Xenopus tropicalis: one gene and its partners. The protein of the gene in region 7 interacts with the protein of the main gene of each other region in a biochemical or structural test. Links are inferred from orthologs where the notes say so. Each region holds a gene or a part of one and is shown on either strand. Other genes may lie near its edges. The genes, in order: pdgfrb, abcc4, slc9a3, tbc1d10a, pten, kcnj1 and slc9a3r2.

Region 1 (4,342 bases), on a different chromosome or scaffold from region 7:
TGGGAACATGATGGACAGTTCATCGATTCAGCACTTGAGGTTAAAGATGGCATCTTCACCCGAAAACTTACCCTTTTTGATGTGACGGGGCTGAACACAGGGCAGTACTCATGCTACTTCAATGATTCCGTCCATACCACTGAACCTGTGAAGAAATCGGTCTATATCTTTGTACCAGGTTAGTGTTTACAGCAATAACTGTACATTGGTTATTCTAGCCTAAACTGCACCATATCCTGAGATGCCCAAGCATTATTGCATAGAGCAATTTTGTTTTACAGGTATAGGATCTATTATCCAAAACATTATAATTTCCGGAACTGCGATTGCCAATAGAGAATGCATTTTGGCACCAAAATCTGCCCCCTGCAAAAACCAATGTCCTGTTTAATATCATAATTTCTACTCCAATGGAAAACACCCCACCTCCCAGGTTATCCCAGATCCTTGATTGTCATTTAAAAAATACTGACCAGAAATGTTGCAGGATAATAACAGTAGTTTTAGGAGGTACTCATGGTGATTCATACCACTGAAAGAAATGAATTTATAAAGGGGAACAATAACTTTTAATTTTCAATTTGTGTCTATCTTAAATAAAATATTAAGAAGTGTTAAATTATATTTCTTTTCCAACTTAGCTTCTGTGAAGTTATTGCTGACCCAGCTGTCAGTTTTAAGCTTGCCGAAGATGCCATTATCTCGGGCTAACTGACCACAACCTCCCTCAGCACCCATCTATTGTATTATAACATATATTTGGTGTGACTAGCTGTACTCCTTCTTAGGCCATACAAATTGATACCAGAAAATTGTGTAGAGCACAAGTCTACATGAAATGAAAATGGTTTATGGCCTATTGATACCAACTGGGGAGGACTCATAATATTGGCCTACTGAGTATAACAGACTAAACATTTTTTGCTTTCTGATTCCTCCTTAGATCCATCTATGGTTTTTCTGCCAGTGAAAGAGAGTGAAGAGTTTATTTTCATTATTCACAATGTTGAAAACATCATTCCGTGCCGAGTGACGGACCCAAACATGACTGTGACTCTCCATGAGAGAAAAGGGGATACTGACATCCCTATGCACTACGACAACAAGAAAGGATTCATAGGGGTTTTCAGTGATATCAACTACTATTGCAAAGCTTCAGTTAATGAGGAGGAGGTTTACACAGAACCATTTCATGTCTATAGTATACAAGGTAGGTACTGAAGCCATAGATTAGAAAGTAGCAGAGTGGGTATTGGAACAGTCATTACTTTGTTAGGAAAGGGATATGACTTTTATGGTTATATTCTATATTTTGTGTTCTGTATACACCCTTATCTCTGGCTAATAATTTTTGCCAGTGCAACCAGTCAAAAGCTTAGTTTAATTCTGTTTGCAGTAGACCAATAACAGTTAATTTCTGGATAATGTACTGTATATGTCATAGTTTGCCTTGAGTAGGTGCCTTTGTTCTCTACGGTACAGCTGCAAGCACAGCAAGGATTCTTTTAAAGATGAAATTGTAATAAAAAAAAAATAAAGCACTATACTAGAAAAGAGTATTGTGGGACCTTGCTTTTATGCTTTTTGATTTATTGCTCCTCCCTTTTGCTTGTAGTTTCCACAATCGACATGTCAATTGAAGCAGAGAAGGACTTGGTAAAGAGAGGTGAAAATATCACTGTTAGATGCATAGTCACTAACAATGAAATCCTGAACTTTACTTGGGATTATCCTGCCAAGAAGGTAAGATGAATATTTCTATCCTATGGATAGTGTTATACTACATGTCTATATAACCAAATTGTAATGTCACATTGTAAATAACATTAGCTAGAGAGCAGCAGAACAATTTGAAGGGAGCAAGATAGCAGCTCCCAGTACATATCAAAATAGCACTCAATAGTAAGAAATCCAAGTCCGGCTTGGGACTCCTCCAGTTACATGGGAGTAGGAGAAACAATAGGTTACCTGAAAGCAGTTCTAATGTGTAGCGCTGGCTCCTTCTGAAAGCTCAGACTCAGGCACAATGCACTGAGATGGCGCCTACACACCAATATTACTGATAAAAATACATTTGTTGGATCAAGAATAAAATATTAAATGGAAGAGTGGATTATTTGCTTTGTAAACAGTGTAATTTTGAAATAAAAAGTATACAATCAAAATTACGACAGTATCCCTTTAAATTAACCTTTAGTATTAAGGGCCTGAATAGAAAGGTAAGTGCAGGTGTTGGATCCATTATCTTGAAACCCCTTATCCAGAAAGTTCCGTATTGCGGAAAGGCCATCTCCCATATACTCCATTATAAGCAAATAATAATAAAGATATAAATAATCCTTATTTGAAGCAAATATAATATTTAACGTTTAATTAAACTTTTAATCGACTTAAGGTATGGAGATCCAAATTATGGAAAGATCCCTTATCCGGAAAACCCCAGGTCCTGAGCATTCTGGATAATGGGTCCCATACCTGTAATTAAAAGTAACAATAAAATTGTAGCCACACACAGCAACATTTTTTTGGCTGCCAGGGTCACTGATCCTCATTTGAAGCTGGTAAAAGGCAGAAGGGAAATAATTTTAAAACTATAAAAAAAGAAAATATGAGAACCAGTTAAAAAGCTGATTAGAATTAGCCATTCTATGACATAGGAAAAGTTAACTTAAAGGTGTACTACCCCATTAACATTCTATCTGGGGACAGCTGAGGAGCCGGCCCAGAGGGGTTTATCCTTATCCTTTCTCTATGTGATGATTTTCCTAATAATCATTTTATTTTTATTGAATTATTTGACCTTATTTTACAGATAGGAAGGACAAGCACCCCGGACGTGATATTTCTGCCCAATAACAGCATAGGTTCTGTTTTGACCATCCACAATGCTGATCTCGATGACTCTGGAACGTACAGTTGCAGCGCTGTGGAGATGACATTGGATCAATTAGACTCAAAAAATATTGATATAACTGTAATAGGTATGAATGGTTTTTCCAGAATTATTATTTTTGAATAGTATTTTGGTATCGCTCTGGGTTCCCCATAAAATTATAAAGGTTAAGTTAAAAACTAATTTATTTAGGACAAGGAAAGGCCTAATGCCTGTTGGGGTATTTATTCATAGGTGAGTACCCCAACTGGCATGAAACATGTTAGGCTTTTCCTTGTCCTAAATAAATTAGATTTTAACATAATCTTTATTATTTTTAATTTTTTTTTGGGGGGGAACCTACATCTTTTTGAGTGAGGTATCCTACACCCACAGACTGGGGTGTTTTGTGGGCAATTCTCCCCTTGTATAACTATATTCTACAAACAACTAAAATGTAACTTCCCCATTCAAACATCAATTACTGCTTTCTGCTGCTTTTGTGCAAATAGTATTTTGTTATGGCAACATGAACACCAAAAGGGGTCATTTATTAAAGTGTCATGTGCAAAGAAGAAATAATAATGTGCCATGTTTTTACCCAAAATACAGTATTCCTTTCTAGCATTCCAGCATTATTTATAAGCACATTTTTACTGGTTAGTAAATTGTTTGCAAATGGGAAAAAAATTGCACTCACAAGGGGAGGAGAAGCACAGTACATAGACATGGGAGTACATAATTAGGTGGATAAACAGAATGCAAAGGGAGCCCTGCACATACTGTTTGGCCAAGGCATTTATTAGTATAGGCAGGGCTGCCATCAGATATTATAGGGCCCTTACTATTACTTAGTTGACAGGGCCCTTGCCCCAAGGGAGTACAGCTTATTAGCCCACCTCGGGGCTGGACCCTGCCAACCAAATAGAATGGTATTCTATGAAAAAAGGCTTAACTAAGTTGCATGCCTGGCCATGTCTCAGATCAGCCCCTGCCGCAATCAGCGGTCCCTATAATGCCCACTCCTCCACAAGCCCTACATATTTATGATCTGTGAACTGGTCACCTGACTAGGCTCACCCAGTCCCCACACACACATATTTTCCCTCTGCCTGGGTACAGGGCTCCCCTACACCGGTGTGTGATGCTCATGCACCAAAGGAGGAGCAAAAAGGAGAATATAACTTGAACACCCTTCAGACATTTTGACCCTTTTTCCACCCATGGAGGAATGTAATAAAAGTCGTAAACAGAAAAAAAATGCACACAGATAAAAGCAAAAATTCACATTTCACAATATAATGTTGTTAATTAGACTATTCTTGCATTGCAAATTTTAATGGCGCTTTAAAAGAAATTTTATGACATACACTGCGTACTGTCGCAAACAATAACATTTGCAAACTTTCTTCCATCTTCGGAAGTGGTCGCTAAACAACTTTGGCGTTCACAAAGCCCATATTAAATTCG
Region 2 (4,342 bases), on a different chromosome or scaffold from region 7:
TCTTTTAATAACATTAGACTTTCCTACTTTTTAGTAACTGCCTAAAATGCATACCTGTAGCCAAAGCCATAGCATTTTTCCTGTGTGCATTGTTGATCCAGTAAAACCAGGGCCCACTGATATAAGATCACATCTACTAAGTTGTTGTCTAAGCAGATTTTCAAAAATATTTTCATCTGTATCTTTTTAGATTTTTAACTTGCCCTTTTGAGCAACTGAAAAGATATTTTATTTACTTTTATAATATGATAAGGATCTTTTCATATTTAAAACTTGCTTAGGGCCCTGGCACACGGGGCGATTAGTCGCCCGCGACAAATCTCCCTGTTCGCGGGCGACTAATCTCCCCAAAATGCCATCCCACCAGCGAAAATGTAAAACGTCTCAAGGCTACTTCGATTTACATTTTCGCCGGTGGGATGGCATTTCGGGGAGATTAGTCGCCCACGAACAGGGCGACTAATCTCCCCGTGTGCCAGATCCCTTAAAAGATTTAAGCACCTGATACTTAAAGGAGTGATTCACCTTTAATGTAACTTTTAGTATGTTATCGAAAGGCCAGTTCTAAGCAACTTTAATTTGTCTTCATTATTTACTTCTTATAGTTTTTGAATTATATGCTTTCCAATGGAAGTCAATGACCCCAGCAGTCAAAAACTATTGTTCTGCGAGGCTTTAGTTTTATTGTTATTGTTACTTTTTATAAATTACTTTTCTATTCAGGTTCTCTACTATTCATATATTAGTCTCTCATTCTAACCACTCCCTGGTTGCAAAGGTAATTTGGACCCTGGCAACCAGATAACTGTTGAAAATGTAAATAATTAAAAAAAAAACTACAATTAAAAAAAATGAAAACAAATTGCAAATTGTCTTAGGATATTACGCTCTACATCATACTAAGAGGTAACTCAAACCCCTTTGTGTTTGGCTTTCTTTAGGATTTGTGCTATTTAGTTACAAAGTCATAGAAAATTAAAGAGATTTTACAATAATGTATATTTAAAGCACTAAAAACTAAAACTTTTAACTTTATTTTTTATTATATCAGTCTTCAACTGATATTCATATGCTGATAATTAGATGCTGAAGTAAAGCTCTGCTTCACCAGTCTCCACTGGCATTTGCCCAATGGAAATAAATTATAAATAATTTTTAACCAGAAACCTTTTTTTCTAGTTTAATGCTTTATAAATGTTACTTTAGGCTTGGAGTAAATCTAAAAAGAGGTTTAATCTCTTCTTATCCATAGTAGAGATGATGACTGTGGTGACTTTTATTGTCTGTATCAATAGACATTCTGAAATATCTTTACCTTTACTTTCCGGATAGTTTGTTAAAAACCAGATCTCCAGTTTGTAATTTCAGTCAGCAGCTACATTACAATTTACCTTAGCATTTAGGCAGTGGTTTAAATGAGACTGAAACATGAATAGAAGAGGGTAGTAAAGTAGAAAAGTAGTAGTAAAAAGTAATGATAAAATTACAGCATCACAGTTCAGTAGCATTTAGACCCCCACGGTGACTGCCACTAGAAGCTTCGAAACAAGCATATGAAAAGGGCAAATAATAAAAAGAAAAATAAAGACCAGCTAAAAGTTGCTAAGAATAGACATTCTATAATAGGTGACTTAAAGGTGAACTACCCCTTTAAAGTGGAGTATACCCCTTTATTTAACATGAGTGCAGTGTATGAGGCTTGTGCTGAAAATACTTTTTGCCTGTTTTATTAGCAGGGCCTTGCCAGGGCTGTATTTGTATGTAGCCATCCGTTGGTCCCCTGAGGGAGGGGATGAGGGTTTCACACCGCAGTGTAGGGTAGAAGTGACGTCACACATAACAGGAAGTGATGTCATGCGCATGATGCCTGCAACATAGGGGTCGTAGGGTGGCACCGGACCTAAATACAGCCCTGCTCCTTGTGAAGTAAATAATTAGTTTACCAGTATACAACCCCCTCCCTTTCCCCTTTCTTGTGACTGTTTTGTTAGCAGGAGTACAGGAGTACATTATATAGGGTAATCTAATAATGTACCTTGCAAACATGGAGAAGCATAAAGGAGAAATATACCCCCCAAACATGTAGGTCTCTATAAAAATATATTGCATAAACAAGCATATATGTAAAACCCTGCGCCATCTAAATAAACATAAAAATATACTTTTTTAGTAGTATGTGTAATTTTTATTTGCCATTTTAAGAATTAAAATTCCCTTGACAAAGGCGTTTGAGCTGAAACGTTGGGGTATTCTCTCATCCAGAGTATTTGCCTTTATTTCTTTTTTCTACCTTTTGCTGGGTGGTACAGTATATATTTATTTTTGCACTGATGGATGTTGTGTGTTTATTCTATGAATGCAATATTGCTGTTACACAATAATTTTTTTTAATTGCGGTACCACCCTGGTATGTCTTTTCCTATTGTGCAAGGTTTATATGTGGGTTTGTACAGCATATTTCAAGCAGCCAGTACGTGTAATGTGAGAATTGATAATGCATGTAATTGCTTAAAGCCATGCTGCCCTGACTTCTGACTACAGCAGTATAATGGACATGCTAAATTTAATTGTTGATGTTGTTCCATTTTATTTAAAGTGACTCCCTTTAATTGCTTTCTTAGATTTTATTTCTTTGTATCAACTCTGTTAGTTCTGTTACAGAATTTTTTATTGCTGGATGAAATCTTCAAACCAGCCTTAGAACTGCCAGAGGAAAATGAAGAAAACCTTTTAGTTCAAATTCAAGATGTTACATGCTACTGGGACAAGGTAAGGTAAAAATATAAATAGTATTGTTTTTGAGCAGAGACTGATCTGTGTAATTTAAAGAAAAGAAGGACATTATATGTCAAACCAATAGGCTTTACATCCCATGTGCTGTAGGTCACACTCTGCACCTCTTCCATAAACGACAAAAATATCCATATGAATCATGGCAAGATGTAGTTGTTTACTGCAATGGCTTCAGTAGGGTAGTTTCTCTAAGGCTTTTCTTCCTAGATGCTAGCCCTGCCATGGGGAGCATGGGTCTAGACTACTGATTGGTGGTACAGTTGCATGTTGCAAACTGCATCACTTGTTATATATCCATGCATTATACAAGTACATTGATACTGGTTACTTATAATTTGTACAACATGTGCATTTTACAGGTGGTCAGTAGGAATGTTCAACTGAAAAGGCTCTAGCCACCCCAAGTTAAAGGAACAGTAACACCAAATAATAAAAGAGCTTTAAAGTAATAAAAATATAATGCACTGTTACCCTGCACTGGTAAAACTGGTGTGTTTGCTACAGTAGCACTACTATAATTTATATAATAAGCTGCTGTGTAGCCACGGGGGCAGCCATTCAAGCTGGAAAAAAGGAGAAAAGGCACAGGTTACATAGCAGATAACAGACAAGTTCTGTAGAATACAATAGTGTTTTATCTGTTATCTGCTAAGTGCCTGTGCCTTTTCTCCTTTGAATGGCTGCCCCCATACTACACAGCAGCTTATTTATATAAATTATAGTAGACTTTCTGAAGTAAACACACAACTTTTACCAGTGCAGGGCAGCAGCACATTATATTTTAGTTACTTTTATACACTTTCATTTTTTGGTGTTACTGTTCATTTAAGGAGCAGGACTTATTACTTTTCTTTTGGAATCTGTACTTGATTGTGTTTCCAGCTGCCCTTGTCAATATTTTCAGCAGTGCAAGTAAAGTTGGGAATAAATGCTAAGATGATTTGTTGTGGTGGGCTAAATCAGGCTAATCTTTTTCCCCTACAGGCCAGTGATTTGATTTTGTGGGGGGCATGTGCAGAACTAAACTGCTATCTGTAACCTGTCATCACAGTGCTCCTACATAAAATATTATCTATCTTAAAATTTGCCCCATATTTAGCCCTTTTGTGGAACTGGTGCTTGAAGAAGCATCTTCCTATAAAAATGTAATCAATAATAACACTATTAAAGAAGATGAGTCTAATGATAATAATAACAATTAGAATTAGAATAAGAATTAGGAAACCCCAGTAAGGCAAGATAAGGAAACTATGTAAATAATGTTATTATTCAGATTACTTTATAATTTATAATAGTGTTACTATAATATAGTATTTTAAGTTTCATGCTAGTTGTATTCAACTAGAAAATCACAGAGGCCTAATGATGTATTACATTTATTACAGACATTGGAAATTCCGACACTTCAAAATATCTCATGTAGTGTAAGGCCAGGGGAATTATTGGCTGTGATCGGACCAGTTGGAGCAGGGAAAGTGAGTATTTTGTATACATTTGATAGATTCTGATAGCACTGAAAATTGAAGTGGAATAAAAATGCTGAAACTTC
Region 3 (4,780 bases), on a different chromosome or scaffold from region 7:
TATTTCACTATTTTAGAAGATGAGGTGCAGAATCTAAAGGAGCAGTTTGCAGGATTCAGTGGTTATGGTGGCCATACACGTTGTGATCCTCTCATTTGGCAAGGTCGCCAAATAAGATGAACTTCTAGCAATACGACCACCTTAGGTGGGCAATATTGGGCTAATCCAATCAATTCGGCCCTACCTAATCCGATCATTTGGTCCTAGGGCCAAATGATTAAATTAAATTGGCAGGCATGATGGACCGAGGACCACATGAACAAGTGAATGATTGATTTTGAATGAATGATTTTCCCAGATCCAATGGAAAATCAAACCTGCCCGATCAAGATCTTGACAGATGTCAGTCAGTTAGGCCAGTCGGGGATGGCCATACATGGGCAGATATGATGCAGAATCGGTCTAAAAGGCTCAAATTGGCAGCTGAAATCTGTCTGTGTATAGCCACCTTAGTCACTCTAGAACAGGAAGTAGGTACAAACTTAAGAAAATTAGAAAGAACATACTGATGAGGACTTTCTAAATCTATTATTTGCAAAAAGGAGTGTTTGCCTGATAAAGTTAAGGTAGATTGAACTGTGACTAAAGAATCTGTGTAGGTTGGAGGATTTGGTGTTTTTATAGAATTGGTTTCATTAGGCACTGCATACTCTCTTTTTCTAGGTTGCACTGAACCTTAAAAATAACGGTGCAGCTGTTATGAGGATGGTTAGGTTTTATCTGTCTTTTAAACTAGGAATAGGATCTGGTGTACTGAGATATTCTAGGGCAGGGACCCCCAAACTTTTATACCCATGAGCCACATTTAAATGGAAAAAGTGTTATACTTGGTTTTATGCAACCAAAACTAGCCTCCTTACCAGAAATTAAAAAATGAGCACCTGCTTTGAGGCCATGTTGCTCACGAGCCACTAGTTTTGGGATCACTGTTTTAGGGTATACAGCAAGGAACCTAGGCATATTATTGGGAACAGTGGGGAGGAAGTGGCAAAGAAAACCAGGAGGACCAGAGCCTCCTGTAGGCTGTATAATTGACTTCTGTAAACAATCTACAAATTGATAGCAATATATACAGTATATAAAGAATATTGCAAGCATATTCAATGCACCAAGTCTTATTAATGGCTTCTAAACATGATTTTGTTACCCAATAAACACAATGTATTCCAGTAGATTGCTTCCACCAGGCTTCATAGGCTATTTAGCCAATACATTTTTCTTTGGTATCTTTCACCATGTGTAACAATTGGTCTGGGTGCATATGTCCCACACCCTTCAATTATTTCAACAATTACAAACACTGACAAGCATGAAGGAGATTCTTCCACTACCGTTCTCTGTCCCTAATTCAGGTTTGGCACCCCAAACCCATAGATTAAGGAAAGTCTCCAAAAGAAATTAGGTGCACACACTAATCAAACACAATCTCAAGATAAACAGAACTGCCAATCAAGTGGGTAGGCTGACTCAAAACATAATATACTTTATGGCATGTGAAAGTCAAACAATAAAACAAAAAATTTTAACAGTATATATGCAGAGGATCTTAAACTGTGATTTGGTATGTTCCCTTGGTTGATTAGTCACAGGTAACCAGGTTCCTCATGTACTTCACTACACTACACTTATTTTGTCCCACAGTCTCTTTCTCACATAGACACGGTCACATACAAACACAGAAACAAGCACTTTTTTTTTCTCTCTCTCACCCACACTGAAACAGGACCAGTCTAACACCCTCCCTCTCTCTCTCTCTCTCTCACACACACACACACACACACACACTCCACCATGTGAACAGGCTGTGGCTCAGCCTCTGGATTAAGATCAAACAAGTATCAGGCTTCAGGTACATAGCAGAGAGACCCTGCTATCAGGAGACAGGCAGAAAACCAGCAGTTGCTGGGTCCTTTAGATTTAAATAACATCATGGGGACCTTGGGAACTTGCTTTTCCAGGGGAAATGCCAGGTGGGATTGTGTCAAGTAAACCTCATTGCCCCCTCCTGTGGATGCCTATATTTAATATTTGGTATAAAAAAGGCACAGTTTGTTAATGGAATTAGAGACACATTGAGATTATCCACTCATATCGGTTTGCATACCTGTGGGCACTGTGCAATTTTAGGGAGGGGGAAGGAGTTCACTACAAGTGAACAGTTTCATACAGGTGGATGTGGGCGGATTTTAACACAAAGCACCACCCAACTTGAACATATTAAAAGAGAAGCAGAGACAGGTTGGTATTGTTACAGATAGCATCCTTTGATTTTTATCGATTTAGGTAATTGACTTTTTTTTTCCCTTTCAACAACTCTACTGTGCATTAGCAGGAAGATACAAGGTATCTTGGGAATAGTATATTACACTTGATTAACCTTAAAGAACAGAATGGTGTGAAGAAGAATGGGTTTATAAACTTTAAATATCCTACTAAAGAAAAAATATCAAAATATCAAAGAAAAGTTACGCTAATAATGGCCCAAGTCAAAAGTGCAGGGCTTGATGCTGATGGAGAACAATCTGGTGGAGGGCATGGAGACATACCAACCAGTCTTCAAATTGTTACTTTTAAGTGGCACCATGTTCAGGATCCATACATAATTGCTGTTTGGATATTGGTTGCAAGTTTGGCTAAAATTGGTAAGTTATTAATTTATATTGTATTTAATTTTTGTTTTTACATTTTACAGTTAACTAGGTACACAGCTGATCCCTAACTAAAAAAAAATATTCAGGGTTACAAAAAATGCTAATATTCAAAAAAGTATAAAAAATAAAATAAAGTGTTTATGGGTTTATATATGTCTATAAAGGTTACCAAAAGAGTTGTAGGCAGTAATGTATATAGTATAATATTATTGGGTAGAATGTTGTGTTTACAAATTTTAACACTACAATATATTTATATTTACATACAGTAGTTTCTGGTGCTGTGAGACCACAGTTGTAAGGGAGGGGGATTTAAAGTAGGAGAGTTGTACAGGTTTGGGATTCAATATACGGAATCCTGTTATCCAGACAGCTCCGAATTACAAGAAGGCATTATAAGCAAATAATTCACATTTTTGAAAATGTTTTTTTTTCTCTGTAATAATAAGACAGTATCAGTATCAGCACTTCATCCCAGCTAAGTTATAATTAATCCTTATTGAAGGTAAAACAATCAAATTGGGTTTATTTAATATTTAAATTATTTTTAATTAGACATAAGGTATGGTGATCCAAATTACAGAAAGACCCCTTATTCAAGCATGCAAGGTAACAGTTCCCTTACCTGTATTCAATCAAGCTTATTTTTAATCTCACATTTTTACTTGCTTGAAAGACTGTTGATGATAATAGATGAATTTATATTTATTCCATTAGTTCTACTAGGCAAAAGTACTGTTTGGTAAGGAAAGTGATTATATAGATACAGATTAATGTACTTAGAAGTCACTATACATTTTTTGTAGAGGTCATGGAAATCTGAGGTGACTTCAGCCTTAAGTTAGACTTAAGTTTTAGTATGGTGAATGTTATGCTTTAATTATTCAGACTGCTGCCTATTTACTGTCACGCACAACCCCCATTACCTTCACCCCAACATACATCCCAGCACCAGCCCCCACTTCCCTACAAGTTTCACTTACTGTTCTATAGCTCCCTCAGCCTAAGCCAACCAGACAGATCTTCCTCTTATTACAGGCCCCCTTCTGTTGTCCCACAAGTTTCACTGTACACAGTGCCTTCTTTCCCGTCAACATTTGTCCAGCCTCCCCCACCAAGCTTTTTCAATTTTCATTCTATACTTTAAAAGTGCTGTGTAGGGTTCTCTTCTCTCTGCCTGAATTTTGTAGGCAGGTGGAGAGAAGCAGATCCACTCTCATCTGGAGTTCTGTGTAAGATGCCCTTGACAGGCAAAGTGTTGGCCTAAGTGTAGCTACATGGAGTATCAGTCCTAAAATGCAAAAGCATATATTTTTGGGACAATATCTGTTTGGTGCTGCCCGTCAGTGCAGCTGCAGAGAGCTGTGGATGAGAGCTGGCTGAAAGAAGTGGACCCTACACAATAGGAAGCGTAGACATGAACTTTTTGAAAATCTGTTTTAAGTATATTTTCCACTTGTCTGACAGTGTTTTACCATTAGCGAAGGTATCAATGGTCTTCTGAATGTTCTCAGAACACTGTTATTAGTTATACTTTGTCTTTAAATTAGAAATCTTAAAAGATTTGCAAATGAGATTGCGGTTTGCGAGAGAATGTCCTCTACATGTGTTTATTTTGTGCAAAAAAAGGCATATTTTTCACTTTGTGACTATACATTCGCAATTTGCAAAATCAGTTTAGTGAATATTTTTCCCACCCCTTAGGTTGTGGCTTAACTCAGACACAAAGTGTGATTATAAATGTTTGCAATTGACGAATATGCCACATTTTAAAAGTTTTTAAGGACATTTGCATTGCGAACAAAAATTTGCAATTATGTTTGCAACATTAAATGCACCAGTCTTGTCCAGCTTTCTAAATATAAAAACTGGCAAGGCAAATATGTTCACTGTGCGAATAATTCTGCACTGCTTAAATTTAATAGTTTGTATTACGTTTGTGGCTACAGCTTTGCTACAACTTTACTTTTTTGTTTTAAGAAACTCGCATAAACTCCTGAGAGTTCTTTCCTTAAAAAAATTCAATCATAGATGTATTTATTAATAGTCACAATAATTTGTAAGTTGATCGTACGAAAGTTTCTTGAAAAATTTTGGTGAAGGTTTTATGAACAATCGTGCGAAATTTC
Region 4 (3,342 bases), on a different chromosome or scaffold from region 7:
TTCTTTAAAGATTTGAATTATTTGATTAAAATTGAGTCTATGGGAGATGGCCTTCCCATAATTTAGAACTTTCTAGATAACGTGTTTCCGAATAAGAGATCCTATACCTGTATATACATCCCTGCAGCAGTGTATGTATATTCATACAGAAGTATGTATGAGCCATCATTTGGATGTCATGTCTGTGTGTGTGTGTGTGTGTGTGTAACTTCCTGTGCTAAATGTCTCTCGGTGTGATTTTTATTATTTGCCGCTTCATCTGCAAAATTTCATTTTAACACGCAAGAGACTTGTTGCTATTATTGCTAAGGCACGAGCGGGCATTTTGCTTCTCATGAAAAAGTGGTGCCTGGCATTAGGGAATGAGATGCTGAGGTTGATGCTTAGCAGGGAGAGCGAGAGATTCACAGAGATGTATTTGGTGAAGGTGTTCAGGTTCAAGGCATTCAGGTCAGCATAGGCGGATTCATATGGTGGGGTAAGATGCAGAGGCTGATTCTGCATTAGGAGGGTTGTATTTGATTGGTGGTATGTTTTCAGATGCTTTATTTGCGTTTGTTGTTAATCCAACCTTTCCAATTTTGTAGGTGTTAAAATAATATTTCGCGTTGCGTTGGTTCTTCTGAAATACACTATTGGCTCTTCTGAGAAACTCAAAACCTGTCAGGGTCAGTACGAGACCATGGAAAAGCTAAAGGCTATCGAACCTCAATACATGTATGAGGGTTTCCTAATTGCAGAGGTGAGATTCTACAGCCTTCACTAATCACCTTTAGATATGAAAAAGAATACTTGTAAGTGACTTATTACTGTGTTCTTTCTCTTAGATATTAGACATTCCAATTACAGAACGAGATATAGAACGTGAGCATCTAATTCAGCTGAAGAAGTGGAAAGAAGAATTTGGGGAGCTACAGTACAAATGCCCTTCCCGCATGCATGGGTCCAAGGCTATTAGTGATTCTGAAACTGCAAGCCACAAGCTATTGACACACTCTCCTTCTATCATTCTTCCTCCCGATACAGCCACAGGACGGAAAAACAAGAAGCATGAGGAGAAAGAACAGGAGAAACAAAAAGCCAAGGAAACAAAAGAGAAGGAAAAACAGGAAAAAGAGAGAAAGAAACTAGAGAAGAAGAAAAAGGGCAAAGGAGACCAATCTAATGGAGCAGTAAAGGAGGAAAATGGAGGAGGAGGGACTATAGACCACCGGCAGGAACCGGAACAGTCTCTGATCCCTAAGCAATCCCTAAATGCAGCAATTAAAATGCACCAATCCAATGAGAGCTTGTGCTCTAAGGAAAGTGAAGACACCTATTTATAAAGTGTTTCCGCATTTAGAAAATGTAGGGATACAATCACCTTTCCTCTCTCCTAGGTGTCTCCATCAGGCATCCTGTAAGCTTCCACACACTACCCTCTAAATCACAGCTATATTGTGTAATAGCTTCAAAGTGACAGTGAGTAAAAGTGAGGGAAGGTAAACCTTTATGGAACTGGGAGGTGTAGAAACTAATCTGGATGGATAATATTTGCACATGGTAGGAATTTATGGATTATAAACATAGGACTGTACCGAGTTTACAACCATGCCACATATAACCATACTTTAGTAAGCTATGGTTTGAACCTAACACTGAAAGCCTGTTCTGCCTGAGAATTTTTTCCCAAGGCTCAACAGAAATGAGCAGTAAAATTCGGGCCACAAAGGGCAGTTGGAGAAATGTCATCCACTGTAGACTGTAAGATAATTTTCTGATTATGACTGGTGTCACTGTAAGAGGTGCCGAGTGCGCTCCCTGTACCATTCCAGATGTCTGACTGCTAAGAGCAGAACATCATCTACTATGCACAAAGATCTTATTGTTTTCTTTTTCCATGGGACCAACAAGAGAAGCTACAACATGAGGGCTCTCTTCCTTCATCCCACAGACACTCATTGTACCAATAAATGGATTAAAAGAATAGGAATCTTGCACCATATTCCGGTACAATGGAGTGTTTGTACTCTTGCCATGTCCAGTCTTAAAAGAGGAAATCTAAACTTGTAGTCAAGGAAATAAAGGATATACATTCAACATTACCTGATCGACACTATCTACCCCCTCCTGACACTACAGGATAGGGTTTGTATTACAGAATGTATTATATTGTTATACTAAACACAGCCAAGCAAAAAAAATATTTATTTATCTATGGTATTAGCTGTTGCAAAAAAAGCAAATAAAGAAGCTTGCCAATATTTAGATTTAAAATAAAAGGATTGTTTCCTGTTAAAAAATATTTGATTGTATTTGTTTTCACTGTTTCAATGTGTCATATTAAACTATGAAGAAACAGAGTTAAAAAAAACACATACATACATGACCTGTTATCCGGAATGCTTAGGACTTGGGGTTTTCCAGAAAAGGGGTCTTTCTGTAATTTGGAACTCAAAGGGACACCTGGGACATTGGTTGGAAGGTAGGTGAAATTCAGTTGCAGAGCTGGTATCTGTTTTTTTTTAACATTTTGGCACTTTCCAGTAAAATAGACTTTACATTCTTCAATGTCCCCTTTCTTTTCTACATGCACAGTAGGATTATAACTTATAAGCAAAACGCTTGCTTGACGTTCTACTGTGCATTTGTAACCGTTGAGCAGTGGAAGATGATGTGATATGGTGCTTTTACAGTAGTGAGTTTTCAGTGAACAGGAACACCAGTCCGGGCTATCAGGTAAGCAATTATATTAGTTGGGGTGTGCCTGACATTTGGCACCCCCCCCCCAGTGATTATAACTTTCCTTTTACTTTAAGTACTTATACTGCTTTAAGGGCTCTGGCACACGGGGAGATTAGTCGCCCGCGACAAAACTCCCTGTTCGCGGGCGACTAATCTCCCCGAGTTGCCATCACCTGCCATCCCACCGGCGAAAATGTAAGTCGCTGGTGGGATGGCACCCACGCGGCGGCACGATTTCGGGAAATCGCCGAAAAAGCCTTGTGAGGCAACTTCGGCGATTTGCCGAAATCGCGCCGCCGCGTATGCCATCCCACCGGCGACTTACATTTTCGCCGGTGGGATGGCAGGTGATGGCAACTCGGGGAGATTAGTCGCCCGCGAACAGGGAGATTTGTCGCGGGCGACTAATCTCCCCGTGTGCCAGAGCCCTAAGGAGCATTTATGAGCTTTCACTGGGTTGCAGTTCCTTTTGTTATGACTTAATTGATTGACTATAACAGTGATCAACATCTGTAGTCTGAGTAGTAGGATATTTATAATTTAAATGCCCACTGCCAAATTCTACAGTGAAAGTCCCCCCGCTTCCCATTTAAACACTTGGGAAGTTTCCATACTGAC
Region 5 (4,938 bases), on a different chromosome or scaffold from region 7:
CCCTTGATCGTATGGCCCCAGGGCTGTTAGCCTGGATTCTCCTAATATCGCCCACCCATAGGTTTGGGTATAGGGACAAGATCCGCTCGCTTGGCGACATCGCCAAGTGAGCAGATCTGAAGGTGCATGAGCACCTTTAGTCTGGACCTAATTGCTGCCTATTAAATCAGAGAGAGTGGTTCGCATCCTGCCCAATGCAAGTGAAGCAGTCAAGTAATCAGAGGGAAAAAAAGCATATATTAACTGTCATACAATAGGCCATGCAACCTTTTCATAGTAAATTATTGTCCCACTGTTCAGCAACCAATGATAAAGAAGTAGCAAGGGGAATTACCATTTGCCCTTCAAGGTCAGTCAGGGCAGGAATTGGGGTTAACACCCGTATAAGCTCATATGCAAACAGAAAGAAAAAAAATCAGCTCCCATGATTACATTGCATCTATGAAGAAAGAATGTAACATGCGAAAAAAAAAAATTGGAATAAACTGCAAAGAACCGTTTAATCCTAGCCAACTCAATACACGCTGTGGGCCAATTATCTAAAATACCAAATGTCAGAGGACCAAATTAGATTAAAATTGCATCATACTAAAACGAAGGCTGGCTTGAGAAAAAAAAAAAAAAAAAACCCTCTAGGAGCGCCACAACTCGCTCCTCCACATCCTGTTGGGCAGCCAAAGCCTACACTCACAGGGAGAGGAACACTTTTCATAAAAATTAAAAAAAAAAAAAAACTTCCTAGAATGGAAAGAGAATACTGCCCAAGTACTGTGCTCTACTATGGGAACAAAGCCAATAATGTTCTGCATCTGCAGCGGCCTTAACCATATTAAACCTTCTACCTCATCGTGCACAGAATCTGGGATCGGAGGGAATCGCAGCCTTTCAGCAGAATCTTTAACCGAACCCTTAAGGCAATGAGATTAAAATCCACAATTTTTGGGGAACGTCGCTTAAATTTGAACATGCCAATCAAGGTTCGGTATTACTGAATCTTATGCCAAGAAGGTGGTGTTCGGCTTAATCTAAAAACCAAGGGATTCAGTACATGATCCAAAAGGATTCATTTTGAGAATAAGAGGGCACTGAGCATACAAACATAGGTGCAGCGGTATAATAAATCGGGAGAATGTATTAATGTAAGACACCCCCACTGACATGGCAATCATATACAATGAAGCGGGCACTGCAATATAACCTCTACATTCCTACGTGGAATCCTGCAGCACACATCTATTTGCATTACCTTGCAGGACTCTCTGTAAATGGCTAATAATGAACCGCTTGTTAAATATTAGCCTTACAGCATGGCAACTCCGCTTTCTAAGAGGTTCCACAGGAACCAAGAGCAATGGGACAATGCCAGAGCATAGCCAGGGCCATTTTACAGGATGGAAGTCGAACTTCCAGGGAGTTTCAATATTAAGAGGCCTCAGTGTGGACCATCCCTAGATTAAAATACAGGTAAGACTGAATGGTAACCTACAGCGATGCTAATAAAGCTTTAGCGTGAAGACACACTGGGCTACTAGTAGCAGCTACTGAATACCAGAAAATCCCCTGCCATAGAAAATACTGAGAATTGCCTCTACTAAAACACACGTAGAGACAATTATCAGTAAATGATCAGCATTGTCTATTTTAGTAGCTGCGACAAGTAGCTGCTACTAGTAGCTCTGTGTGTCTTAGCCTTAGACCACTGCTAATATATGGGACATATATATGTTCTATAGTCTCCAAACAATGGCTGTCTCCCAATGACCCGATTTATAGGGTATTAGGGTTAACGTATTCGCCAAAGGGGATTTAGGACCTGACTAGTTTCCCTGCAGGAATCATGGGAACAATCAATGGTCAGGATTAGGGGGGATGCCCCAAATGCATCATTTTTTGGAACCGAAGCAAAACCCTAATCTCACCTGAGATATATATATATATATATATAGTGCCTATGATTGGTAGTCCAGGGCCATGAAGTCACATGACTTTTAGGGTTTGGAATCGGCCAAATTCGAACCCTTAAAAATGGCAGAATTTGGCCGAATCCCAAAAGGAACCCTGGAATGGGTGCACCCACAGTCAGCATAAGCAGACCCCCGTAGAACAACTGAACCCTTATTTTCCCAACATTCCAAGAACCCCGCTGCTCCCTGAATTTCCAATTTTCCAACATGGGCCATCCCATTATTGTAGGTGCCCCCCCCCCTGTATAACCATCCGCAGACATTGAGAGCAGAGTGACTGACAGGTTGCACATTCTTCCCTCGCCAAGAGGTTCTGCAGATGCCAAATCATCAGCCCCCCGTGTATATATCCAGATCCAAGCAAGACATTGAAGAAAAAGGGATATATCCAAGTAGATGTTGGACTACAATTCCCAGCATCCCACCCACCACACTAAAGCCATGATTTTTTTTTTTCGAGGGGGGAAGGGGATGGCACAGGATGGTGCTAGGAAGGGATACAGGTCAGGTCCAAGTCGAATCCATCCTCCTGGTACCGCCTCTTGTTCCTACTGACGAACTCCTTGATAATGGCGGTCATGTCGGGGAACCTGGGGGTGGGGAAGAAGGAGGAGAGGGGCTGCTGTAGGGAATGGGGGGCAGCAGCGGCCCCCTGATCCGGCTCCTCTCCCCCCCGGCCGCTCGGCTCTCCTCTCCTCCCCCTTCTCCTCCTCCTGCTGCTGCCGCCGCCGCTGCTGGTGTTGCCGGGGGAGGCCAGAGTACGGCCGGGGGTGGGGGTTACCCAAGCTCCCCGGGAGGCTCAGGGCCTACAATCACGTCCAGCGGAGGCTTGAGCCTGACGGGGAAAGGTTGGCCGCGCCTCCCCTCACTCTGCGGGTTCTTCCCCCAGGGGCTGCGTGCGGGGAGGGAGGAAAAAAAGAACAAGATATCCGTTCGGCTATTCCCTATGTCCGTGCTGTGGGCCGGGGAAGGGTCGGAAAGTGCTCTCTCTCAGGCGGCCTCTACTCAGTGCCGTGTGCAGGAGCCCGCCCGCCGCCACCGCCTCCGCCGCTGCTGCTCATGTCTCCTCAGCCCGCCGCCGCCACACGCTCAGGCTCCCATCATGGCTTCCTTCGGCAAAAGCCAGCGCGTATCCCTCCGCCTGTAGCGCTGCCAGTGCGATCCTTCCGCGCCTTCTCACCACTGCGCAGTGATCTGCACCCTAGCAAACTACAACCCCCACCGATCCTCCCGCCGCCAGACTAGGGATTGGGCGGTCGGGAAATGTAGTTCCGGAGCTGCAGTTCTTAGTTCCACACAGGTTGACGAAATCCTACAGATCCCTCCGCTTATAATACTTCTCTTCACAGCGCCACATCATCCGACCCCCACAGTCACCTCTTATCCCGCCAGCCGCCTTACACTAATCAGCACCTCTTCTTAACTATTTTTCCCAAAGGGATATTGGGGTGCTTAGCCAAAAAAATACACATTCTAATGGTAAAGACACCCTTTCAAAGATATGAATCTTGCATTACCGCGGAAGGATATAAGGAACTATTTCTTTTTTCCTTGAGGAGAGAGAGGGGGGGGGGGAGAGGTCACGTGGTGCAGGAGAGGAGGGAGGGGGCACTTTGTAAATGTCATTTTTTTCAAGCACTTCATTTCCCTCTCTTCCTCTCTCATGAATACAAAAAAGTGAGAGGCCTTTAACTGTTAGGGGGATGGTGCACAAGGCAAAGTCTGGCTACATGCAGCACACTCATGGCTCAGCTTGCATTCTCATTCTCCTTATACATGTGTATATTAACGTGTGTGTAGAATATAGTTATAACTGTACATGGTATAAGTGTTATATGCTGGGACTGTGTTTTAGGAAAAAAAATAAGCACCAACTTTACCATGTTGACAAGATGTGACGCATTTTTAGTCGAAAACCTAATTACAACATGAGCAAACCCCCTCAGTGACTTCTAATATCCTTATCATTTACAGTAGGGGGTACATTATCCCTTATAATACATGAGTGATACTCAGAGTTCCCTGTATAACTCAGCCTGCAGCCTTGTGCCTTTATATGGGCACAGAACCCCTCAGTGACTGCTAATATCCTTATCATTTACAGTAGGGGGTACATTATCCCTTATAATACATGAGTGATACTCAGAGTTCCCTGTATAACTCAGCCTGCAGCCTTGTGCCTTTATATGGGGGGCACAGAACCCCTCAGTGACTTCTAATATCCTTATCATTTACAGTAGGGGGTACATTATCCCTTATAATACATGAGTGATACTCAGAGTTCCCTGTATAACTCAGCCTGCAGCCTTGTGCCTTTATATGGGCACAGAACCCCTCAGTGACTGCTAATATCCTTATCATTTACAGTAGGGGGTACATTATCCCTTATAATACATGAGTGATACTCAGTGACTTCTAATATCCTTATCATTTACAGTAGGGGGTACATTATCCCTTATAATACATGAGTGATACTCAGAGTTCCCTGTATAACTCAGCCTGCAGCCTTGTGCCTTTATATGGGCACAGAACCCCTCAGTGACTGCTAATATCCTTATCATTTACAGTAGGGGGTACATTATCCCTTATAATACATGAGTGATACTCAGTGACTTCTAATATCCTTATCATTTTGGGGTGTATTATCCCATATAATTCATGAGCGATACTTAAAAAGCACTAGAAGGATATCCCCTTTTTGATCTGTCATTTTAAGTGTTCCTTGAAATTAAGTTTGAAGCCTAAGGATTTGGTGAAATCCAAACCTTGCAAAAAGTTCTGGAAGTTGGCTAAATTCTAGGTTCATTGCATCCCTAAAATATATACAATCTTACAGCTGTAGTTCAACCAGAACCATATCCACTACTTGTCCCAAGCTTTATGGGGGCCCACAGATCAGCAGTTCCAGGCAGCAGGAACATGATCAAATTCCATTGCAGCTCTCAGATTTATCTCTTTTCTGGTAAGGGCCTGT
Region 6 (4,908 bases), on a different chromosome or scaffold from region 7:
AGTATTGGGCTGCATTGTCACTGCAGTGCTGCAACTTGCATCTTGGCTGGATTTGGGACAAGGTATAAACCAGAGGCTGGACTGAAATCCCCTGCCACAAATGCTCTGTAACTATGCAATCATGGATGCAATTTTGCACTAAATACTCCAGTACACAAGGGAGGGGATTTCATAAATTACAGCTAATAAAAATGTTTGAATAGATTATATATGTGTCATTTTGGGGAAACATATCTAAAGCTCCGCTTAGATCTACAAAGCTCTCTGACCAAGCATCTAAGCAGACAATGGGCTTGATTCATTAAAGGGCAATAAAACGAGCGCTATTTATAGCATGCGTTAAAAATTTGATCACGTTTTTATTTTTGCAACTTACACTTGATTCACTATAAGGAAAGGCATCATAATTAAGACTCAATGTTCTTTGCGTTATTTAACTCGCAATGAGTTTTTTTCTTGCGTTAATTCCCCGCGTGCGCGTTATTTCCTGCTGCACGAGATATACAGTATTTCACTGCTTGCTATTTTAGTGCACAATTTTACACACGTAACCATTACTTTCGGATAACTACTGTTCTGAAAATTACCATTTCCCTGAAAACTGGAGGCTGCATCACTCTAGGGCCAACACATACTTTAAAAAATCCCACTGCAAAGTCCATATTGTGTTGCCAAAAGCTCACGAACCACAATTTTCTTTAATTAACGCCTGCCCCAAGTAGGTGTTAATATTCCCACAGACTAATGCAAAATTTAGTGCATTTAACGCTTCATGTGTGTTTGTGAATCACATGAATGCGAGGTAAATAACGCATTGCGGTAGTGCATTTTTTTGCGCATGCGTTATGCGTCAACACATGCCAAATGACTTTGATGAATCAGGACTTAATTATTGCATGCTTTTTAACACAAAAAAGCATGCGATAAGCGTTATCGACCTTCAGTGAATCGGCCCCAATATGTTTTTTTTCTATTTTGCTCCCAGAAGCATAACATAATTTGGACAGACCCCCGTAAAAAAGAATTTTCAGACCCCGTCAGAAACACTAACTACCCTGGCCCCCCATTCACTTGCAGAGTATGGCAAAAGTAAGGTCTGCTGTATGATAGTTAGCGCATCCCCGGCTACTACATTCAGACATTATATGCACTATTTACATTGACCACAGGTTAAAGGATTAATCTGGATCTATAGGTGTCTGTCTTTTAAGGTATCTACTAACCTCAAATTAGGTCAAACAGGTGGAAACTTGTCCGTAGATCTGGGTTTTGTTTACAACTGATCAATGATCATCTTTGAATTAAGCAAAAACATCTGTTCCTGGGGCTGGATGTACTATGATAGTTAAGGTTACGCAACTTCTGGTAAGCCCACTTCTGCCTTTTTTGCAATATATTATATAATTTTATATAATATAATAATATAATATAATGATTACAAACCAAATTGTAGCACAAGGGAAAAAGGTACTATTGTGATTGTCCTTGCAGCATACAGCTGCTGTGCTAACTGTTGTTTAGAGGCACTTAATTAGCAATGCCTTACTCCACCTTTTCCAGGTACAACCAGATTTTGCATGGCTGAGCTGGATATATAACAGAGCCTGCTAGCTCTGTCTAACTCATTAAGGAATCCAGTAAGGTAGAAGCCAGAAAATAAGGACTACCTTTAATAATACTTAGGCATTGGATAAAAGGTAAATATACAGTCTTTAAACTTAAAATAATATATATATGGCTGCAAAATTATCTTTTAATAGCTAACAATACAATGTAATGCTGGACATCCTTTTCACATCCTTTTCAACAAAATTGAAAATATAACCTGTTTTTATGTTGTGATTACTTTTAGTTTGTGTTTAGTATGACTGTTATTGGTCAGTAAAACACACGGGTATCTATTTTAAAGCTGTATATTTATATTTTTATGTAAGCAGGGACTATCATACTTCTTATTCATCTAAAGCAAAATCAACTCATTGATATAATGTAGAAACCATGATCTCGGTGGCCAGATTATCTTGGAAATGGCAGAACTCTTGCTTCATTTACTTCTCATTAGCACTGAAACAAAGAGGATTTTAAACATACAAATGCTCCACTAATCCGCAGGTGGCATTAAATAGTCTGCTTGAAAGCAAATGTCTGACAGGTTGCACTGGGTTCCTAGGTATGGTACAATTTTTGCTCTTTAAATCAAGATGCTTTAAATTACGTTCTAAATATTTCCTAATTTCCGTCTGATTTTTGTCTTTGCATATGAAAAAAATAGTTTGTTACCTTATGATTTATCATAATTATGCACTATTGCAGCTGAAGAGTCTGTATACAGTAGGTTGCTCAGTGGAGTATCAAAGATTTGCTAATTGTGTCCAATTGTATTTTTTTACCAGTTCAGTTTTTAAAGTACATCCTAAATTTGAATAATCTCACAGAAACAATTTTTGTGATACTACTACTTTTTTGATGGCTAAATGATCATTTACATTGTAGAATGCTTTCTTGACTGGGGACAAACCAGCAAAAGGGTAATATGAACCTTCCCCTTAAATTAGCCTACCCTAAAGAAATAAAAAAGGGGGGTGCACTTATGAATTTTCAAACCTTATAGCTTAGCCAAAGATGATGGATGGATGGATGAATGAACTGCTCATGAATTTGGTTTGACAGCTGAAAAGTTCTATGTTTTGCCTACATTATTTAAAGATATTGCAACTGCTGCTGACATGGCTGAACTCTTTATGACACTGATCTACAGACTGTTAATGAACTTACCTCTTTCTTAAGCTGTTGGTGGAATTTTAGGTTTTCAAGCAGTCACTGGATACAATTAGTAATATGAAATGTAGAGGGGAAAACAGATATGCAACTGGCCTCCCCCACTGCCAGTATATATATCCAAATAAAGATGAAGCAACAATACCTGTATAATCACTGTGGGGTGTTCCTAGTTGTTTATTGCGGTGCTTCAGATACAAACAGCAGGATCAAACGTTTCAGGACAATGATATGCCCTTCCTCAAGTGACTTGTTGTTGACTGGATACAATTAGGCCAAGTCTTTAAGTGACTGCAAGAGCATTTTTTACTTTTATTACTAGGAACTTGCACCCTAATCAGCCAGGAGCCAAGTCATATTAACTGGAGCAGGACAGGACACCTATTTTAAAGTCTGCTTTCTGCAGGTACAAAAATAAAATCACTTAGGCAGATTTTTAATAATTATTTTTTGTATAATTGTTTTCTGTTTGGGTTTTGTTTTAAGAGACCAGTCATCCTTTGTCATGACACTGCTTAGCTCAAGGACTGGGACAGTTGTGGTAAAAGTTATGTAATTGTCTACATTTTTTTTTAATTTTCAAGAAAATGTAAAGCACTGTTTAGGCCAATGGGATTTTCTTTGTGACTCTGTTTCATAGCAACATAAAAAGACAGGTATTGCTGCCAACAAAAAAGCAAACTACAAAAGTTTTGAATTTCACATTTAAAGAAAAGGTGTTTAGTAAAGGAAGTAACTAAACTGTATTTACCAATTATAGCTCAGTTCACCAGAATAATAGCTGCAATATTTACAGTAAAGCTATTTGGCACAGAACAGGACATCGACGTAAGAGTCTAATTTTATTCAATATAAATAGAGACATCAGCACAGTCTACTCATACTCTACCAGCTAAAGATCTCTCTTGGTAGGTGAATATTAGTTTTTTTTAAGATTCCTTCCCCTGAGTCGGTCCTCACTACTGGTAGCCTTAATTGTTGCTTCTGTGTTTCTTGGACACAATATTAGAGTTTAGCACTGCAATGACTATCATTTATGAGATTATGAGATACATGCTGGATTGAGCTTTTCATATATATAAGGTGAAATTTAAAAAGCACAGTTATGCATAAGTTATTTGAGGATTTACCATAATATTTTTCCCTATGAATTTCAATATGCAAAAGTGAACTCCAGGGGGAATTAAGTAACATAATTTCCCTCCAAATAACAAGATAAACACTTCAGAGGAAAGAGGGACAGGTTACAGTACAAGTTTGCATGTACCTGTCCGGGTAATCTATCAGGGTAATGTCTAATTTTTTTTCTAACACTTGCAGTAAGATCAGAAACACAATGGAACTATAGGTCTCCTAATCATGTAGAATGCGCAGATGCATTTAGAACCCAATAGATAGTTTTCCCAGGGAGGTGTTGTTTGTCATCTCCCAGGGGTGCGAGAGTATAGAAGGTGTCAGAAATCAAACACCACTTCCACTGTGCATAAATGTGTGATTGTATTCCTGAGTTAAGGGATTTTCTTATGTTTTTAATTAGTCTGATGTGTGTGCTGTATGTGTTGTAAATGGGAAGTATTTTATTGCAATTAATGACTTTCTTTTTAGTATTATTGCTCAGCCACTGGGGATAATAATTTGAGAGAATTCCAATTTGCCCTATATAAAGAGTCTCTTTACCTCTGCTAAATCTAAGAAAAAACATTTACTTATATAGTTCTGTTGGACCATTGGAGTTGGATCTAACTGTTTAGAGTCCTCAGTATATGTTTCCAGCTGCTGAGACTGTCCATTCTATGGGGACCAAATGGAGTAGATGGGGTATAGGGTTGTATACTGATGGATATCTAAGCTTACTTATTGTCTTGGATGCTCCTGAAAAGTATAGCATGTTGACTTTAAATGATATTAACCTTAACTTTTCTGCACAAAATATGTCAAATATAATATGATTTTTCAGCTGCATGGGCAATAGATTTTCATAGACTAGTTTTTCATGAGTAAGAAATACATTTTGCATTTCACAATGTAAAAAAAGAACCAAAAATAAATGTTTTTTTTTTTTACTCAAACACCTGATGATCTGCCTGTGTTGTTGGGACCAGCTCTCCACTCCCACTTTATTCTCACTGA
Region 7 (4,342 bases):
CGATCCTCTTGTGTTTGTGGTTTCACTGTCACAATAAATTACCTTAGTGCTTTTGTCTCCGGCCATGCTGAATGCAGACAGGCCATTTTATTGCACTGGCAGTTTCAAATATTAAAGACAAAGTAAATAAAGTTGTTGATTTTGATTAAGGATAGAGAGTTGCTGTCCCGTGTAGGAAGTACACGGGCCATACATTGCCAAGTCACAAAAACTGCAGACCTTTTTGGCACCCTAAATTACACAGGGGGTCACATTGAGGCCTATCAGGAGAGGACCCATAAACAGCTCAATGCAGTTTTCGTTTGAAAGATATGTCAGCTTTCCTGATCAGTATATAGCCAAGCACTATACAGCAGTAATGTACAGGTTAACCCATGGGACCCATGGGTTTACCCTTAGCTCAGGCAGGTTAGAGATGAAATTTGGGAGACCATTGTGGGTTCAGGGTGGGTGTGGATCAGAACATTTTCTCTGCTTCCAAAGTTTCCCTTTCTTGCATCCTAAGATGAACAAAGAAGTAGTGTACAGAACAGAAAGAAGCGGGTATGGGTTGAGTGTGGGTCCTACAATGGCAACGTTTTACGGGTTAGGGTCAGGTGTGGGTGAAGGTTGAATTTTTCCTGACCCGCACATCACTAGACAGATATTGATTGCCACCTGGGATGCCCATCTGGCTGGTAAAAACACTCCCTGATGCCAATAGGGAAAAGGGTTAAAAATACAGGATTTTTTTCCAAGAAAGGTTGGTATCCTTAGCTCCACCCACTTACAGAATATTCCTTTGGCACGCGTCTCATAGAATCATTGAAGACCAAAAAACAGCTAATATATCAGGGAATGCTTAAGATTACGGACACATATTAATAGCCTATTATAGTTTTATAATAATCCAAAGGTGTTAGGACCAAGGGTTTCAACTGGGGCAGAAGGGGGGAAACTGGAAAAACTTTAAGTGAGGGAAAAGTGCCTCGGTATAAGCCATATTTCTATTAAACTAAACAAGAGAAGCAATAGCAAGATAAAATTTAAGAAAGAGTACAAGGGAGCAGGGGGCTGCTATGAAAGAACTCTGCGGCCCAGTCAGAGCACAAAGCAATTGTTTCTGTCAGGGGAAAGTAGCAGCCGTTGCTAAGAAACCAGGAAGAGAGGCCCTGGTGTTTGTTTTCATTGCAATGGCTGAGGGCAGGGAGCAAGGAAACAGACTTCTTTAGCAAAAACGGGGAGCATTAACCCCTGCAGCACCATGAGAACTTGACCTGCATTGGCAGGACCAACCCCCTTCTCAGACAATTGCAGCCATTTCTGTGGTAAAACTAATAAAAAACAGCGCAGTCCCTTGTGTTTAAGTTCAGATCAGGAGTGAGTCTTGGCGCTGAACATGGCATTACAGGCAGGCTGGCATTTGTGTATACACAGCACTTGTGGGTATGTAACAGTCAGAGGAGGCAACAGTGAGGTACCATCACTTCCCAGCTTAGTAATGTGTTCACAGACTAAATACAGTTGCGTATCATGGCTCTTAGTTTTAGGTTAGAACTGTAAAAGTTCAATCACTGGTCATCGGTGGTTACAGGGTTTGGATGATATAATGTAGGGTGGGCTAATGTAGTAAGAGCTGTTTGCTTCAGGTCTAGTAACCCATAGTAACCAGTCACCAGAAAGCAATTACTGGTGTGCATTTTGAAAGGAAACATCTGATTGGATACCATGGGTAAATAGAGCAAGAACAAACTTTGCACTTGAATTCCTTCACCTCTAGGATCCTCTATCTACCAGCCATTGTTTTCCATGCAGTACTGCTTACGGTGCTGTCTTCTTAGCCTTGATGACAATGATGTCTCAATATGTTTCCATCTATTTTACGTACAAACATATTGCTTGGATATCCTCCATGTTAAAGTAAAGCATTCTTGGGGACCCAATATAAATTAACACTGCTCTAGGCAATTAAACGTCAGGTCCCAAACAACTTCAGACTGTGCCATAATCTCATGACTCCCTTTTTAGGTGAACGGACAGAATATTGAAAACATGAAGCATTCGGAAGTGGTGGCCAACATCAAATCCAAGGACAATGAAACAAAGTTACTTGTTATAGACCAAGAGACGGACGATTACTTCAAGAAGCTCGGGATTGCCCCCACTGAGGCTCATGGAAAAGGTGTGGAGATGACTTCTGTCTTGCGCACCACCTCTGTTGAGGCCTAAATAGAACATCCATTTGCTTGAAACCCTAGAGTAAAATATTCTGCCACCTGCCCTTGTACCCTGAGACCTCACTTGTTGGACATATTTTTTTCTAAGGATAATAGCACATGGGGTGTTGTGTCCACAGGCTAAACCTCCAGTTACACCTCCATCTCCCATTGACTTTAGTCAGGTTTTAGGCCCCAAAATGTGCAAAACATCACGCAGTTTCAGGCACTTCTCAGCCAACTGCAGTAGTGCAAAATAAGTAATTTCTTAGCTCCTTGTCATATGTATAAATGCATATGAACAAGAAAGATCTTTCTGTGCGCTATATAAGGTATTATTTCCATATACATATGGGTTTTCCCTGACGAAGGTTCTAGTAAGGAACCGAAACGTTGGACCAATAAACCTCACCTTATTGCATCTGACTATGACTTGTTGTTTGTAAGTACTATTGTGCAAATCCTGTGAGTGCCGACATTTTTTACTTTATTTCCATATACATATATATATATAGTTATTAACTACTTGTTTCTTTTCTTCAGGCACCATCCCCTTGACCAACGGTGTGACCCCTACACAGGTCAGTATTGCCCAAGGCTTTTCCTGCTTTTCTATCAGTACCAGTGAAAGGAATGCAGAATCCCATATGTTTTCTCTGAGTGCTAGTGATACTTGATTGGCCGCTTGTGGTGCATCGCAATGTTTCAGGCATTTATTAAGCTTTTTACAAACAGCTCTAAGATTTTTGACATTCTTTTATAGTGCAGAGAATTTGGCAACTGCAAGTTATAGCAAATTATAGTGTGAATCTTTGGACGCTACCAAAAATGAACTTTATCAGATATTTTGAGATCTTTAAGATACTAGTAATACAGAGGTAGCTAATATGTGGGAATATAAGCCAGGAAATGCAAACCTGCCTGCCAAGGCTTCTCTGAGGTTCTCCCTTCCTTTTGCTTCCACCTTGTTTTAATTATGGATTCTAAATACGTTGCGGTTTAAATATGTCAGTTTGTGGTTGATTGTAAGGAGGAGAAACCAAACAAATAAGTTCCACTGAAACCATTATCTGATAACAACTAAAGGATGCTGGGACTTGTCCGAAGGCTCTTTCCTTACGTTTAGGGCAGTGGCACACAGGGCAGTTTTGGTTCTTTGGACAAATCAGCCTCCGTTTTCTGCTATGACCTGATACTGCTGGTGCAAGTACTCTATAGTTCCTGGGGCACATAATGATTGCCACAGCAGCAAATGGGGGCAATTTTTGGTAATTTTGTACCATTCTATGTCTCTGTTAACTTCCACCAAGAACCAGCAGTTTTGTGACATCATGTCTTTTGTTTTCCAGCTGAATGGAGACTCTTCAACGTCTTCATCTCACAGCGATCTGCAAAGCCCGGATAAGGACTCACAGGTACAATGCTGCTAAACTAGAGCCTGGGTAAAGTTGCCACCTAACCAGTTTAAAATCCAGACACATACTGTATAAAACCTCCAAGCTGAATAGCTAATTATCAATCCATTTGGGTACACATTGCATAGGTGCAGTGGTCTGCAGCTTCCATCTAAATTAGCCTTGCAAGATGTGGATTTCAGATATTTTTAGTCTTGTAAAAGAGAGGCAAGACCCTAGTGATACCTACACTTAAATAAATCCTTATGTGCAGGAAATGCCTATAAGCAGTCTAGAAATTTTGTATATGCCCTACTCAAATATATATATATAGAGAGAGAGAGAGACAGTAGTATGACCGTCTGTGTTCTTTCTAAGCCTGTGCATCATTTTCTATGTTAATCTGAAACATGAGGGGTCATTTCAAAGCATTGCTTCAGCCCGGCTGCAGGCACACGCAGTGTATTTCATCCAGAAACTGCTCAAGTATGCAGTTTTGGTCTGAAATGCACTGCGTCTTTCTTAAAGGAGACATATCCTATAAAAATTAAGAATGTACCAGAGAATTATACTCCTCTAGATAAAGAAGGAATGAGCAGTTCCACCTGCAGTTCCACCTGCTGGCTGAATTCTCTGGATGAGCTGGGGAGCCGGCGGCCCTCCGTACCCTGCACTATAAGATAGGAACCAATCAGCAGCTAGGCTGACCTGATAGGGAACTGAAGCCTGTCTTTGCTTGTGTGAGTGCAGGGC

What was found.
Region 1: the proteins of slc9a3r2 (region 7) and pdgfrb form a complex in vitro, tested with the Homo sapiens proteins (2 studies listed by BioGRID and IntAct, with this or other methods). The link is inferred for Xenopus tropicalis from reciprocal best matches to the Homo sapiens genes NHERF2 and PDGFRB.
Region 2: the proteins of slc9a3r2 (region 7) and abcc4 form a complex in vitro, tested with the Homo sapiens proteins (2 studies listed by BioGRID and IntAct, with this or other methods). The link is inferred for Xenopus tropicalis from reciprocal best matches to the Homo sapiens genes NHERF2 and ABCC4.
Region 3: the proteins of slc9a3r2 (region 7) and slc9a3 form a complex in vitro, tested with the Homo sapiens proteins (2 studies listed by BioGRID and IntAct, with this or other methods). The link is inferred for Xenopus tropicalis from reciprocal best matches to the Homo sapiens genes NHERF2 and SLC9A3.
Region 4: the proteins of slc9a3r2 (region 7) and tbc1d10a form a complex in vitro, tested with the Homo sapiens proteins (2 studies listed by IntAct, with this or other methods). The link is inferred for Xenopus tropicalis from reciprocal best matches to the Homo sapiens genes NHERF2 and TBC1D10A.
Region 5: the proteins of slc9a3r2 (region 7) and pten form a complex in vitro, tested with the Homo sapiens proteins (2 studies listed by BioGRID and IntAct, with this or other methods). The link is inferred for Xenopus tropicalis from reciprocal best matches to the Homo sapiens genes NHERF2 and PTEN.
Region 6: the proteins of slc9a3r2 (region 7) and kcnj1 form a complex in vitro, tested with the Homo sapiens proteins (2 studies listed by BioGRID and IntAct, with this or other methods). The link is inferred for Xenopus tropicalis from reciprocal best matches to the Homo sapiens genes NHERF2 and KCNJ1.

The regions. Positions count from the first base shown.
Region 1 is NC_030679.2:21,229,746-21,234,087, forward strand, and holds part of pdgfrb (platelet-derived growth factor receptor beta), read left to right. Parts: coding exon 1-178; intron 179-943; coding exon 944-1,210; intron 1,211-1,615; coding exon 1,616-1,743; intron 1,744-2,812; coding exon 2,813-2,981; intron 2,982-4,342. UniProt on the Homo sapiens protein: Tyrosine-protein kinase that acts as a cell-surface receptor for homodimeric PDGFB and PDGFD and for heterodimers formed by PDGFA and PDGFB, and plays an essential role in the regulation of embryonic development, cell proliferation, survival, differentiation, chemotaxis and migration.
Region 2 is NC_030678.2:122,400,551-122,404,892, forward strand, and holds part of abcc4 (multidrug resistance-associated protein 4), read left to right. Parts: intron 1-2,661; coding exon 2,662-2,769; intron 2,770-4,178; coding exon 4,179-4,268; intron 4,269-4,342. UniProt on the Homo sapiens protein: ATP-dependent transporter of the ATP-binding cassette (ABC) family that actively extrudes physiological compounds and xenobiotics from cells.
Region 3 is NC_030682.2:72,332,687-72,337,466, reverse strand, and holds the start of slc9a3 (sodium/hydrogen exchanger 3), read left to right. Parts: upstream 1-1,799; 5' UTR 1,800-2,476; coding exon 2,477-2,642; intron 2,643-4,780. UniProt on the Homo sapiens protein: Plasma membrane Na(+)/H(+) antiporter. Exchanges intracellular H(+) ions for extracellular Na(+) in 1:1 stoichiometry, playing a key role in salt and fluid absorption and pH homeostasis.
Region 4 is NC_030677.2:144,386,713-144,390,054, forward strand, and holds the end of tbc1d10a (TBC1 domain family member 10A), read left to right. Parts: intron 1-587; coding exon 588-742; intron 743-827; coding exon 828-1,325; 3' UTR 1,326-2,284; downstream 2,285-3,342.
Region 5 is NC_030683.2:12,975,186-12,980,123, forward strand, and holds the start of pten (phosphatidylinositol 3,4,5-trisphosphate 3-phosphatase and dual-specificity protein phosphatase PTEN), read right to left. Parts: upstream 3,095-4,938; 5' UTR 2,545-3,094; coding exon 2,466-2,544; intron 1-2,465. UniProt on the Homo sapiens protein: Dual-specificity protein phosphatase, dephosphorylating tyrosine-, serine- and threonine-phosphorylated proteins.
Region 6 is NC_030683.2:72,348,337-72,353,244, reverse strand, and holds the start of kcnj1 (ATP-sensitive inward rectifier potassium channel 1), read left to right. Parts: upstream 1-1,602; 5' UTR 1,603-1,697; intron 1,698-4,908. UniProt on the Homo sapiens protein: Inward rectifier potassium channels are characterized by a greater tendency to allow potassium to flow into the cell rather than out of it.
Region 7 is NC_030685.2:18,898,336-18,902,677, forward strand, and holds part of slc9a3r2 (Na(+)/H(+) exchange regulatory cofactor NHE-RF2), read left to right. Parts: intron 1-2,007; coding exon 2,008-2,161; intron 2,162-2,738; coding exon 2,739-2,776; intron 2,777-3,544; coding exon 3,545-3,610; intron 3,611-4,342.